Linked DNA regions of Cricetulus griseus. The protein of the gene in region 3 interacts with the protein of the main gene of each other region in a pairwise test. Links are inferred from orthologs where the notes say so. Each region holds a gene or a part of one and is shown on either strand. Other genes may lie near its edges.

Region 1 (4,165 bases), on a different chromosome or scaffold from region 3:
GCTAAATTTCATCTAGTAAGTTAGTAGAAAAGGAAAAGATAATGTAATTTCTAAAAAAATTTTTTTTTTTTTGGTTTTTAGAGGCAGGGTTTCTCTGTGGCTTTGGAGACTGTCCTGGAACTAGCTCTTCTAGACCAGGCTGGTCTCGAACTCACAGAGATCGTCCTGCCTCTGCCTCCCGAGCGCTGGGATTAGAGGCATGTGCCACCAACACCTGGCTATGTTTTTGTTTTCAAATTTATTTAATTGATATAGAATTACTTCATTTTTATCCTCCCTGCAACCCCTGATGTGTCCCCTCAACCTCGAAACTGATAGCCTCTTTTTATTTGATTATTAATCTTATGTATGTGTGGTGTGCATATATATACATATACATATATATGTACAACCTTCTAAAGCCAGTTTTGTTATTATAAACAAACATTTTTTTACTATGACTGCTTTTTCTATTTGTAAACACTAGTGATTTATCTTATTATTGCCTAACAATAAGTCTAATATTTTATGCCCTCTCATTTCTAGACTATTGAAAGCCACAAAAAGAGCAATTCTCAAAACAGTAGCTTAGAATGCTAGACTGTGGGGATGATATTACTGAGCATATTTCTCAGCCACCAATCAGACAGAACTGATCCCTAGCCAATTATAGTAGTTGTTTCTTTTTTTTTTTTAACTCTTTACTATTTGCTTTTTTCTCTTTCAGGGGCCCAAATGTAGCTCCCAAATAAATCCCACGCAGAGGATTATTGTTACTTATAAATGCCCAGCCTTAGCTTATCTTGTTGCTAGCCAGCTTTCCTTAATAAAATTATCTCATCTACCTTTTGCCTCTGGGCTTTTTCCTTTTCTTCTGTATATCTTACTTTCACTCTTACTCCATGTCTTGATGTGTGGCTGGGTGGTTGGCCGTTTTCATCCTCCTCTCTTTTTCAACCTTGCTCCTTTGGCCGAGATTTCTCATCCAATTTATTCTCACTGCCTGCCAGCCCTGCCTATCTTTTCTCCTGCCTTACTATTGGCCATTCATATCTTTATTAAACTATCAAGTGTTTTAGAGAGGGAAAGAATCACAGCTTCACCGAGTTAAACAAATGCGATATAAAAGAACGCAATACATCATTGCATTATTAAACAAATGTTCTACTGCATAAACAAATGTAAAATACCATAAAATATCATTACACACACACACACACACACACACACACACACACACACACACACACACACACATTTATACACACACAGACATCCCCATTATTTCCACAGTTTATCCCTGAAACTAGGTGCATTCTTGTTAAAATGTGAAGAATACTTGTTTGGGGAATGTGTTTTCTTACTGAAAACTTCTTTAACACAAGGTCAAAAATGTGATGAAAACTATCATGGCTGGATTGCAGCAAACCAACAGTGAAAAGATTCTTCTGAGCTGGGTTCGACAATCAACACGTAATTATCCACAGGTTAATGTCATCAACTTCACCTCCAGCTGGTCTGATGGCCTAGCTTTGAATGCGCTCATCCACAGTCACAGGTGAGTTTTTTGAGATTTAAATTGTTTTTAAGTATTGATTTAGACACTGATGGTGTGTTTTACTGCAGTGTGGCCCCTCTACTATGCCACGTGTTGTTAACAATATCAATCTAAGTATATATGATTAACAGAGAAAGCTTTTTTATGTTTGCTTGTTTATTTGAGTTAGGGTATCCTCTAGGCAGGCCTTACCTACCTAAAAATTATGATAGTGCTGTCTCATTTCTGAGTAATGAGATTACATGCTTTAAACACCATGACCATTATATTTTCTAATTTTTAAGTTACATATGATGATGTTTGAAGGAGAAACAAACCTGAACACATTTTATCCTGAGATTCCTAAACAGCCAGGTTATTTCATATCTTTGCTAATAAGGAGACTTAATAGTTTTAATAGAAACATATGCATCAGATTGAGCCTAGACTATATAACTAACTAAAAGTTGCTGTAAATGTCATGTAAGTGGTTTTAGTGAAATCAGATAAATAATGTACAGGTAATTATTTGTCATATGAAACAGAAGCTTACATAGCAAACACCAGGATGCCCTGGAAGTTTTTTTCTCATCAGGATTAAAAGAAATACCAAACATTTTAGCAAACATGGCAAAAAGAGGGGTAAGGTGAGTTCTAAATTACAGTGTTCAGAACTTCAAAAGAAGCAGTTTCTCTATAGCAATGAAGCAATTTCTGTGAAATAAGGAACAGCTCTTTGGACCTTCATAAAAATAACAGCATAACATAATGAACTAAGCAGCTTTTACTATAGTTCAGTTGTGTTATGGTTCTTCAAATGATGAAATAATGCTTTACTTTTCTTAGATAATAAAGTTTAATGAATTAATTTATGATAGGCCAAAGAAAATTAGATCCATGTAGGATATATATATATATTATATATATATATATATATATATAATATATACTTTCATATGTATAAGCTATACAGCACCATTCTACATATGATACACAAAGTTACATTTCCTTCAAGAAATATCTACTTTTGGTCTTATTATTAATTGTCTCTTTAAAGATGGTCAAATTAATTTTTTTATGCCATTGGACTTAAACTTCCCTGAATCTCCATGTAGGTTATCTTTTGTCACTTACATTTATCTTTACTTTGTTCCCTATTCTTTTTCTCCAAGTCTACCATTTTTCTATGCCACTCTTGCTTACAGAGAAGGTCAGAATATAAATTTTCCTTGTGATAAGGCTGAACTCAAGGGCAAACTCAAAGTAAGCATCTTTGTCAGGTGTCATGCTCCAGCTGGGCTTAATTAGCCCCATCCAGACTGGGTTTCCAGGTGAGTGATTCAGCAAACCTGACTGTGAAAAGGAGCCTGACTGGCCCTAATCCACACATTTAACAAGGTAAACAGATTGGTTTTCATAGGTACAACAAAAGAAACATTTTCCAAGCTTCAGTACAGTCAGGTAAGAAGAGATAGAGCTATTGATTCCACATCATAAGTTCCTGCTCATTAATGCAGCCACATGTTTCACATTAAGGGCCTGAAGAAATATTGATCATTCTCTTCATGTATAAATTTGTAGATAAACAAAAATATTGAGGATCAGGTTATGTGCTACTTGTAGGCTCTTTAATATTTTCTTTTCAAGTGTGAGATAGCTTCACTGCATGTTCACACACCATATTTGATAATTTTCTTTTTGTAATTCCTGAATATAATTTAAGTAATACAGGAAACATCCAGCCTGTACTATCCCTGACCCACTCTTTCTCTGCAACAGTGTATCTGCATTTATGTATTTTCCTACTTGGTACTGAATGAGCATCAATAACTATTTTTTTATACATTACATGTTTAGTTTTCAAGAGGTTCCTCACAGTTGCTTAATGCTGTTTCATGAATCATCTGCCTTTTTGTCTTTGACAGATGTTAATATTGTTTATCTACAGAAAAAAAACATGGTTGGACTTTCTGTTCCAAGGTGATTGTCATTGGCATTCTTAGGAATGTCATTCAGTGCCCTGATTTCAATTATTGAGTGACTAAGCTATATAGAACAAAGACACAGAGCAAAGAGACCTTGGAATTTAAAAGGTTTATGTTCAAACACAATGCCCATTACAGTGAAGTTGAAAGGAAACCAGTTTCCAATTTAGAGGAAAAAATGATAACTGATAAGAAATATGTAGCAAACATGGACATTAAATTATAATGCCTTTACACTGATTAAATTTTCATGCTAATTCCTTCTCTTCCTACTCTAGGACATGGTTTAAGAAAAAGATATCCATTATGTTACTGACATCTCCCTTTGGTCTAGTCTCAGCTCCTTGTTACTTGTGATCTTTATTGAAAGGACTCAGGTGGGAAGACAGAATGCATTATAGAGTAAAATGAGGTACACTCAACAGAAAAAAACGGGTAGTGTTCAAAGAGGCCATTTGTTGAGGCAAACACTGTCATGGGATGGGAGTCAACAGTAGTCAGAGACAATATTTTGCATTTCATTTTTTTTATAAATTTTATTTAAATTAGCAGAGAGAAAATTTTTATAGAGCAAACTTTATAGGGATGAGAATACACATTGACCAAAAGGACATTTGTGCCACCCTGTGTTTTTCAGTTAAGCATCATACTGTTTCCAAAAGTT
Region 2 (4,284 bases), on a different chromosome or scaffold from region 3:
AATATTAAAAAAAAAGAAAGAAAAAGAAAAAATATGTCGGGGGCTGGAAAGGTGGCTCAGAGGTTAAGAGCACTGGCTGCTCTTCCAGAAGTCCTGAGTTCAATTCCCAGCAACGGCATGGTAGCTCACAACCATCTTTCATAAGATCTGGTGCCCTCTTCTGGTGAGCAGGCAAATATGCAGACAGAATACTGTATACGTAATAAAAATAAGTAAATAAATTTAAAAAAGAAAAGAAAAAACATGTCATGTAGGTTATTTAAAAATAAAGTGCATTTAAATTTTTTTTAAAAAAGTTTTTTGGTATAATTCCTCAAAAGTAAAAAAAGTGAATTTTGCTTGTTTGTTCATTTGCTTGGTTGTTTGTTTTTCCTACTTTTTTTTTTCTTTTTTTTTTCTTTTTTTTTTGAGACAGGGTTTCTTTGTGTAGTTCTGACTGTCCCGGAACTAGCTCTGTAGACCAGGATGGCCTCGAAGTCATAGAGATCCACCTGCCTTTGCCTTCTGAGTGCTGAGATTAAAGGAGTGTGCCGCCATCACTGCCCGGCCCAAAATAAAATATTTTTTTAAAAATTCAATTAAAAACCCTGCTAGGAGATTATTAAAAATAATTTCTGGGGACTAGAGAGATGGCTCAGCTGTTTAGAACACTGCTCTTCCGAGGACCGATGTGAAGTTCCCAGCAGCCACATGGCAGCTCACTACTGTCTGTAACTCCAGTTCCAGGGGACCCGACAGACACATGTGCAGGCAAAACACCAATGCACATTATAAATAAATAAGTAAACAAACAAATAAATAAAGTTATTTTAAAAAATAGGCCGGGCGTTGGTGGCGCATGCCTTTAATCCCAGTACTCGAGGATCTCTGTCGGTTCGAGGCCAGCCTGGTCTCCAGAGCGAGTGCCAGGATAGGCTCCAAAGCTACACAGGAAACCCTGTCTCGAAAAACAAAACAAACCAAAATAAATAAATAAATAAATAAATAAATAAATAAGTAGTCAGATGGTGTTGGTGCACACCTTTAATCTCAGCACTGGGTAGGCTAGAGGCAGGCAGATCACTGGGAGTTTGAGGCAAGCCTGGTCTAGAGAGCGAGTTACAAGACAGCCAAGGATATACACAGAGAAACCCTATCTCGAAAAACTAACAAACAAATCTGAATTCATCCTCAGCCTCGCTGCACTGCTACTCAGTCGTTTTTTTTGTTTTGTTTGCGCACATCTCAGAAAACAAAATGCGACACCTACTGGGCGCAACACTAAAATGAGTTCCTGTAGCGAGCCCTCTTCATAGTTTAAGTTGTTAGGGTTGCTTGTTATGGATGTAGGAGCGGGAGTCACTGGATTGACAGATGATTTTCCAGGCTGGAGGTCAACCAGCTAGCAACGCCAAGCACTTTTAGAGGCTGGGAAGAATGAGAGCGGCTGGGAGGGGCATACGGTGGGCTAGGCGGAGCTAGTAAAGTGGGTGGGGCAGACCAGAGCCTTCCAGGCCACCGCCCAGTATGGCGGCCCCAGTCCTAGGCACTTCGATTCCTGTGTGGTTGAGCGAGGAGGACCTGAGCTGCATTATCTGCCAAGGGCTGCTGGACTGTCCCGTCACGCTGCCCTGCGGCCACAGCTTTTGCCACCGGTGCCTCAATGGCTTGTGGGTCACGCAGCGCGCGGGTGTGGATGGCCGTCCCTGGGCATGCCCCACCTGCCGGGAGGGCCCCGAGGCGAAGCCAAAGCTGCGCAAGAACCTGCTGCTGCAGGACCTGGCGGACAAGTACCGCCAAGCGGCGCTCGAGCTCGAGGCTGGCCCCGCAACCGCGTCCGCGCCCCGGTCGCCGAGTCGCCCCGCGCCACCGCCGGTAGGAAGCCCACACCGCTCTGGCAGCCCGCGTGCGCCCCCTTGGGCCTCTCCTGCCTTCGCGATCTCTTCTTCCGCTACGTGATTTTATCAGTTTAATCTGTTTTCGGGAGTATCTTTGAAAAGTTCAGACTTGTATAAAGAAGTAGAAATGCCCGGCGTGGAGATCGCACGCCTGTAATCCCAGGATTTGGGAGGCTGAGACGGGCATGCCTCACAGCAGCCAAAGCTACATAGTAAGGTCTGGTCACAAACGATAGTTAAAAATCTCATAATAGTTGAAAATCTAAATCCCATCCAACCGAGGTGTATTTCCATTTATTCGACAGCCTTTCTGTGATGTCTAAAAAATTTGCCATTTTAACATTGTTTAATTCTATTTATCGGGGCAGGATCTAACTAGTGTAGACCAAGCTGGACTTGAACCTGAAGTGAGTAATGATCTCTGCCTCCTTGGCTTTCCAAGTCTGGGATTACAGGTGTGAACCACTTGAACTTGCAGAGCTCTGCTTGCCCCTGCTTCTCAAGAGCTGGGATTAAAGGCATGTGCCACCATGACTGGCCAACCATTTGAACAATTTTTTTCAGTGTACAGTTCGATGGCATTTGTCATATCTCCAACACTGTGCATCTGTCACCGCTGTTGCCAAAGTGATTTTATCGCCACATAGGACCTCTGTACCCACTAAGCTATAACACCTGATTCCTGTCCCTCCAGCCTCCGCACATGTCTCATCTACTGTACCAGGCTTTTTCTTTTGAACCACCAATCAGCTCCCAAATATGACTCCGAGACTTCTTTTTTGTAGACCAGGCTGACCTTGAGTTCACTGAGATCCACCTGCCACTGCCTCCCAAGTGCTGGGATTAAAGTTGTGGGCCACCACTGCCGGGTTTGACATGGAGCCTTCTTATTAGTTGTGAATGTTCAGCCTAGTTTAGGCTCGTTTGTGGCTAGCTCTTTAAGTTAACCTGTTCCCCCCTTTTTTCTTTTCCTTTTGCTTCAAGCTTTTTACTTTTCGTTCCTAAGGTTTATTTTAATTTACTGCTTCTCTTCTCTAGCTGGCTGGTAGCTGCCTGGCATCTTGCCCTGGGTGTATATCTCTCTTTCTTCCCTCATTCTCTCCCCTCTCTCCCTTTCTCCCTTTCTCTCTCTCTCTCTCTCTCTCTCTCTCTCTCTCTCTCTCTCTCTCCTGTCTCTCCCTTTCTTTCTTGTTTGCTTTTAAGATTTATTTACTACGTACACATTCTGCCTGCATGAGAGAAGAGGGCACCAGATCTCATTACAGATGGTTGTGAGCCACCATGTGGATGCTGGGAATTGAACTCAGGACCTCTTGAAGAGCAGCCAGTGCTGTTAACCTCTGAGCCAGCCCATGCCTAACTTCTTTCATTCCCATAATATTTTCAGGGCGAATTCATGTTGCAGCATGTATCAGAACACCCTTGCTTTAGGTGGCTATCATATCATCTATGTAGATATATCACTTTCTAATCAATTTATTTGTTAATGAACATTTAAATTGTTTCTACATTCGACTATTATAACTACTGCTACAATGTACATTATCTTACAATTGAGTTCCTATTTTCAGTTTTACTCTTTTCAATTGGGGACTTATCTGAGGGCCCCAGGGGTTCCAGGCATGCATTCTCACCCAGCCTCTCATTTGATTTTCTATATAGTATTGGGCAAGAATCTAACTTCAGGCCAGGCGTTGGTAGTGCACACCTTTAATACCAACACTTAGGAGGCAGAGGCAGGCAGATCTCTGTGAGTTTCAAGCCAGCCTGGTCTATGTGCAGAGCTCCAATATAGCCAGGACTACGTAGAGACAACCTGTCTCAAAAACAAACCAAAGGATCTAACTTCATTGATTGGTATAGGGATATACATTTCTAGTTAGTATTTGTTGAAAATACTTCTTGTGCCTTTAAGTAGTCTTGGCATTCTTGTAAAAATCTATTTCATGGTATATCTGAAGATTTGTTTCTTGTCTCTCTCTTCTTTTCCATCACTCTAAATGTTTTCTTTCATGTTGCTACCTTGGCGTTTATAGCTCCCTTTGTTGAGTGGTGGTTCTGGGTCCAGTTTTTGGGAACCAGAAGCCCAGTTTCACTCTTTTAAAGGTGGCAGTACAGAAAAACACCACAGAAGAGGTCATCCAGGAGCTGACAGAACTGATGCAACAGCTTGTAGACATTGTCAAGAGCCTTCAAACATCAAGACCGGGATCTGGATTGGACAATGAACTAGGCATCCTGGGCATGGTAGGTTCAGGTGGGAAAGGAGGGGCCAGGGTGAAGGACAGCTTCCAGCTAAAGCAGTATGACACATGGGATGCAACAGGTCTCATGTTTCTCTTTACTACCAAATATGGGTGATTAGAAATCTGGCATGCTCGACATGAGTTAATGGAAGCTTCGAGTA
Region 3 (4,212 bases):
CCTTCAGAGTCATCCCTGATTCAAGCATCAGAGCCCTCAGAGCATTTATTATTGATAATATTCATTTGATACTTGGTGTGTGTGTTTGCTATTCTATACACGCCCTACCTCCCAACTAAAATATATGCCCTTTAAAGAGCAGCAACTATTAAGTGTGAGATAAATCCTTACTTAAAGTATTTAAAATATTCTTGGAGAGAAATTAGTTGGATAATAGTGCTCTATCTATGGCAGAGAAACACTTGGACATGAAAACTTTCTAGAGAGCTAACCACTCCCTGCTCCCGCTGCCACACACACACACACACACAGAGAGAGAGAGAGAGAGAGAGAGAGAGAGAGAGAGAGAGAGAGCTTCACACAATTCAGGCTGACCCCAAACTCTTAATTCTCCTGCCTCTACTTCCTAAGTGCTGGGATGACATACACGAACCTCCAATGTTTATGTGATACTGGGAACCAACCAAGGGCCAGCATCCCAACTAAGCTATATTCCTAGCCCCAGTCTTAATATTTTAAATTCACTGAAACTTTAAAATCAGTCTAAATTATCTTTATGTACTTCCCTGACTTGTTAATCAAGCATCATAAGCATGCCTTATGCATCTCCTGATACAATGGGGAACTTAATTTTGTCTTGTTGAGAACAGTCTACCATTAAGCCTATCAGTTGTGGACCTTGACAGAAATACAACTGTGGTGTGCGGTACCTCTGCTGTGATCCTGAGTAAGGCCTCATACCAATCCCGGAGGATTGTTTACCCCTCTAGTTAATTTTTAGCAGTAAATACTCTCCACACTCCAGAATAAAAATAAAAATAAAGCTGTGTAGTACTGGTAAATTTTTAGCAACCCTACTATACAAAGTTACTGTTTTTTCCAGATTAAAGCTCTCTGGCTAGTTTTCCTACTGTGAAACTTTTTCTTTGTAACCACTCTGTGCTGACCTCATCCCCTCCTCTAATCTCTAGAAGGGACACAGGAGTAGCTAAAAGTTGACTACTGAAACCAAGCTGTCTGGATTCAAATTCCAATTTGTCAGTTAAGAGTTGAACTCGATAATAACAGGTTAATTGATCTAACTAACCCTCAATTTCCTCATCTGCTTCATGAGAATATGCATATATCTCACCCCATGGGTGGTCAAGAATTAAATGAGTTAGCACTGGCAGAGTGCTTAGAACACAGCCTGCATCGAGTATTAAATAGATGGATAAAACACTATCCATTTCAAGTCCATTACTCTCATCCCTCTCCCTTGTGTAGAAGTGCTTGGGCATTTCTCACCACTTATGGATTGTTGTTTTCCTGCTGATAGGGATGTGGGGGGAGTTCTCCAGGGTGGAAGGAAGTGTAGACACTGAAAAGGAGCAACAGCACTCTTCCCATTGATCCATACGTCCATCACTCAGGAAGAGGGAAAGCCGCAGAGTGTAGTAACCACTGCTCAGCTAATCACAGGATGCAGGGAGGAAAATGGGGATAATCCAGGGGACATATATAAAATTACAGCTTTCAAATATTTTCTGGACTGGGCTGGAACAGAGGCAACATTTAAAAGTCTATGGAATACTGACAACCTCCCCTTCACTAAAAGTGTTTATGTAAGGCATCGGTGGCCAGGTGTTGTTGTAAGAAATTATTTTTTAATTTAGAGTCAGATAATTTAAGACTCTATCTCTAAAATCTTGGCAATCCTGGCATGAGTCACCAAGATGTTACAGCTTAGTATGAGTCACACCCATCGCCAACGGGCAGCCAAAGACAAAATTCTTCACTTGGTGTTTGGCATAGTACCCACAACTGTAGGTGAGGAATTCTAGCCCTCAGGTTATGTATATATACCTCAGCTCGGAGAAACAAACCTTTCTTTCTTTTTTTTTTAATTTTTATTAAGCACATCACTTAGCTGATTCTAGACTCCTTTTATAACCCACAAACACAATAATGCACTAATCCCAACTGAGAACTGGCAAAAAGGTGTGCAACAGGATTAAGCACCAAGCACTCCTTCCCCCGTCACTCTGCCTAGTCCAGGCAGACGGAGGTAGGCAGGCAAGTGACACGGAGGGACAGGGCAGGTGGCCAGAGTGGGTGGGAGTTGGGCCAGCACACACACGGTCAAGGGAACGGGACAAAGGCCTTGGAGAATATGCCGGAGTGGGAGCAAACTGTAGTGCCTTAGTCTGCATCCAGCGCCCTGGTCTGGCGTGGGATGTGGACAGCGGCGGTGGCGGACTGCGCAGATGCAGCCGCCTAGGCTCTGGGAGCCAGGGGACCCCACAGGGGTCCTACCGTCCCACGGCTGGGCCTCACTGGGCAGAAGCCGCAGCACCAGGCGATTCCAGCCGCCTAGGCCGGACAACGCACCTGCTGGGCTCGGTCGCCTCACCGCGCGCCCAGGAGTGGTCGCCCCGCCCCAGGCCACCACGCGAGTCCTGCCGTGCCACCGCCGCGCTCGCGGAATGCGGGACAGCGCCGCCTCCCGCCCCGCCATGCCGGGCCGGGGAAGAGCGGCAGCCGCCATCGCCGGCCGCGCACACGGGGGATCGGGGCCGCAGTACCTGAGAAACCAAGGGCAGCAGCGTCTGCTCCACCGAGCGAGTTCTGATCTCCAGTCCCGAGTCGAAGGCGAAGCCAGACGTACTGGAGGAGTGGACAGCTCCCGCGCCGCCGCCGCCGCCGCCGCCGCCGCCGCCGGGGACCGGAGAAGCGGCCATAGTCCTGGACTGATCGTACAACACCTTCCCGCACCAGTGAGGGGCCCGCCAACTAGCCTGCCGCCGGTCGCCTGCCGCCTCTCTGCACCGAGGCCCCACCCCTAGCCTTGTGCCACCGCCTCGGCCCCGCCTCCATGAGACTCCAGGCCCTATAGCCACGCCCCCACGCGGGCACCACCGCCTCGGTCCCGCCCCCAGGCCACTCCACCCTCGCTAGTTCCGCCCCCAGCCTTGCCCCCCTACCCCCGTATTGGTCCCTCCCACCTGCCCCCATAGTCCGAAGCGCCGCAGTGGTGGCTCATCAGCTCCGCCTCTACGGCGGCACTCCCCCTTTTAGCTCCACCCCAATCCCCGGGAGCCCCACCTACCCGCTGCTATTGTCCCACCCCTGCCGCCCTGTAGAAGGCACCAGTGCCTCTTTGGGGTGTGTGCCAAAACAGATTTTGCCTAAAGCAGGAGAAACCAGACACCTGAGGGCCTCCCCAGGTTCACGAAGCCTCTCACCAGAAGACAACTGTCCCCAGCAGAGTTTCCCACCAAATCCATTTGCCTCAAAAGTCAATTCTGAATCTCCATAAATATTTCTGCAAGTTTAGATGGGGTTGAAAATGGTAGGGAACCTCTGCCCTGAAATGGCAATTATACTTGTAATTATCTTTCCATGGCTTCCCAAGAAGGTCCACCCAATTTTCCCTTCACTCCTATTTTCTGATTATGTATCTCTCACACTGAGTTGAAACATTTGATACATTCAAGTAAGCATCTTGATACTCAGCAAGAAGGCAGTGGATCTTGCAGGCAGCATCTTTAGAATTCACTTTCAAAAAAATTTAAAAACAAAAGTTGCATGCACTGATAAATACTCCATCTTTTTAAAACTACTTTTTGCAATTATTTTAGTATTAGCTAAGAACTAGCAGCGTGTTAACTGCTCCTTCAAAGAAAAGATTGTGTCTATTTCTGACTGAAGTCACTTAAGGCTAAGAATCCATTCTCGCAGCCCAACCATGAGCTCACACAGAATCCCTGTGATGAGGAGTGCCAACACTCCTTTTCCTCCAGTTTCCAGGAACAAAGCCAAAGAAGGCTTTCAAAAGCCTGCACCTTAGGAAGGATTCTAGACTTAAGCAACTGACTGAGAAGCATAAGAAAGTATTTTTGAAGGACCATAGCTACTAACAAGCATCTACCGAGACACAAAAAAGAATCTGAGACTGGCTTTCTCCATCAATAAAGTTAGACTGATGGGTTCAACTTGCAGTGCTGAAAGCAAACTTGCAGGGCTTAGCTTCATCTGCCGAAGCAGCACGGGTATCTGGTAATGGAGATAGCAAAACTCGCTTCTTTTCTTCCTTAAAAAAGAAGAGCTCCTGAATTCAACTCATATCCCAATTTTTCTTTTTCTTTTAGATTGTGTTTATATGTTGGAATGTGCAGTGCTTGTGAAAAACAGAGGCATAAGATCCCCTAGAACTGGAGCTACAGGTGGTTA

Evidence for each region.
Region 1: the proteins of Ctnnal1 (region 3) and Dmd interact in binary tests that used the Homo sapiens proteins (3 or more experiments, as listed by UniProt). The two-hybrid records come from large-scale screens. The link is inferred for Cricetulus griseus from reciprocal best matches to the Homo sapiens genes CTNNAL1 and DMD.
Region 2: the proteins of Ctnnal1 (region 3) and Rnf135 interact in binary tests that used the Homo sapiens proteins (3 or more experiments, as listed by UniProt). The two-hybrid records come from large-scale screens. The link is inferred for Cricetulus griseus from reciprocal best matches to the Homo sapiens genes CTNNAL1 and RNF135.

What each region holds. Positions count from the first base shown.
Region 1 is NC_048604.1:84,649,377-84,653,541, reverse strand, and holds the start of Dmd (dystrophin), read left to right. Parts: upstream 1-1,364; 5' UTR 1,365-1,376; coding exon 1,377-1,537; intron 1,538-4,165. UniProt on the Homo sapiens protein: Anchors the extracellular matrix to the cytoskeleton via F-actin. Ligand for dystroglycan.
Region 2 is NC_048600.1:93,649,112-93,653,395, forward strand, and holds the start of Rnf135 (E3 ubiquitin-protein ligase RNF135), read left to right. Parts: upstream 1-1,483; 5' UTR 1,484-1,506; coding exon 1,507-1,854; intron 1,855-3,983; coding exon 3,984-4,124; intron 4,125-4,284.
Region 3 is NC_048595.1:87,021,911-87,026,122, reverse strand, and holds the start of Ctnnal1 (alpha-catulin), read right to left. Parts: upstream 2,805-4,212; 5' UTR 2,721-2,804; coding exon 2,565-2,720; intron 1-2,564. UniProt on the Homo sapiens protein: May modulate the Rho pathway signaling by providing a scaffold for the Lbc Rho guanine nucleotide exchange factor (ARHGEF1).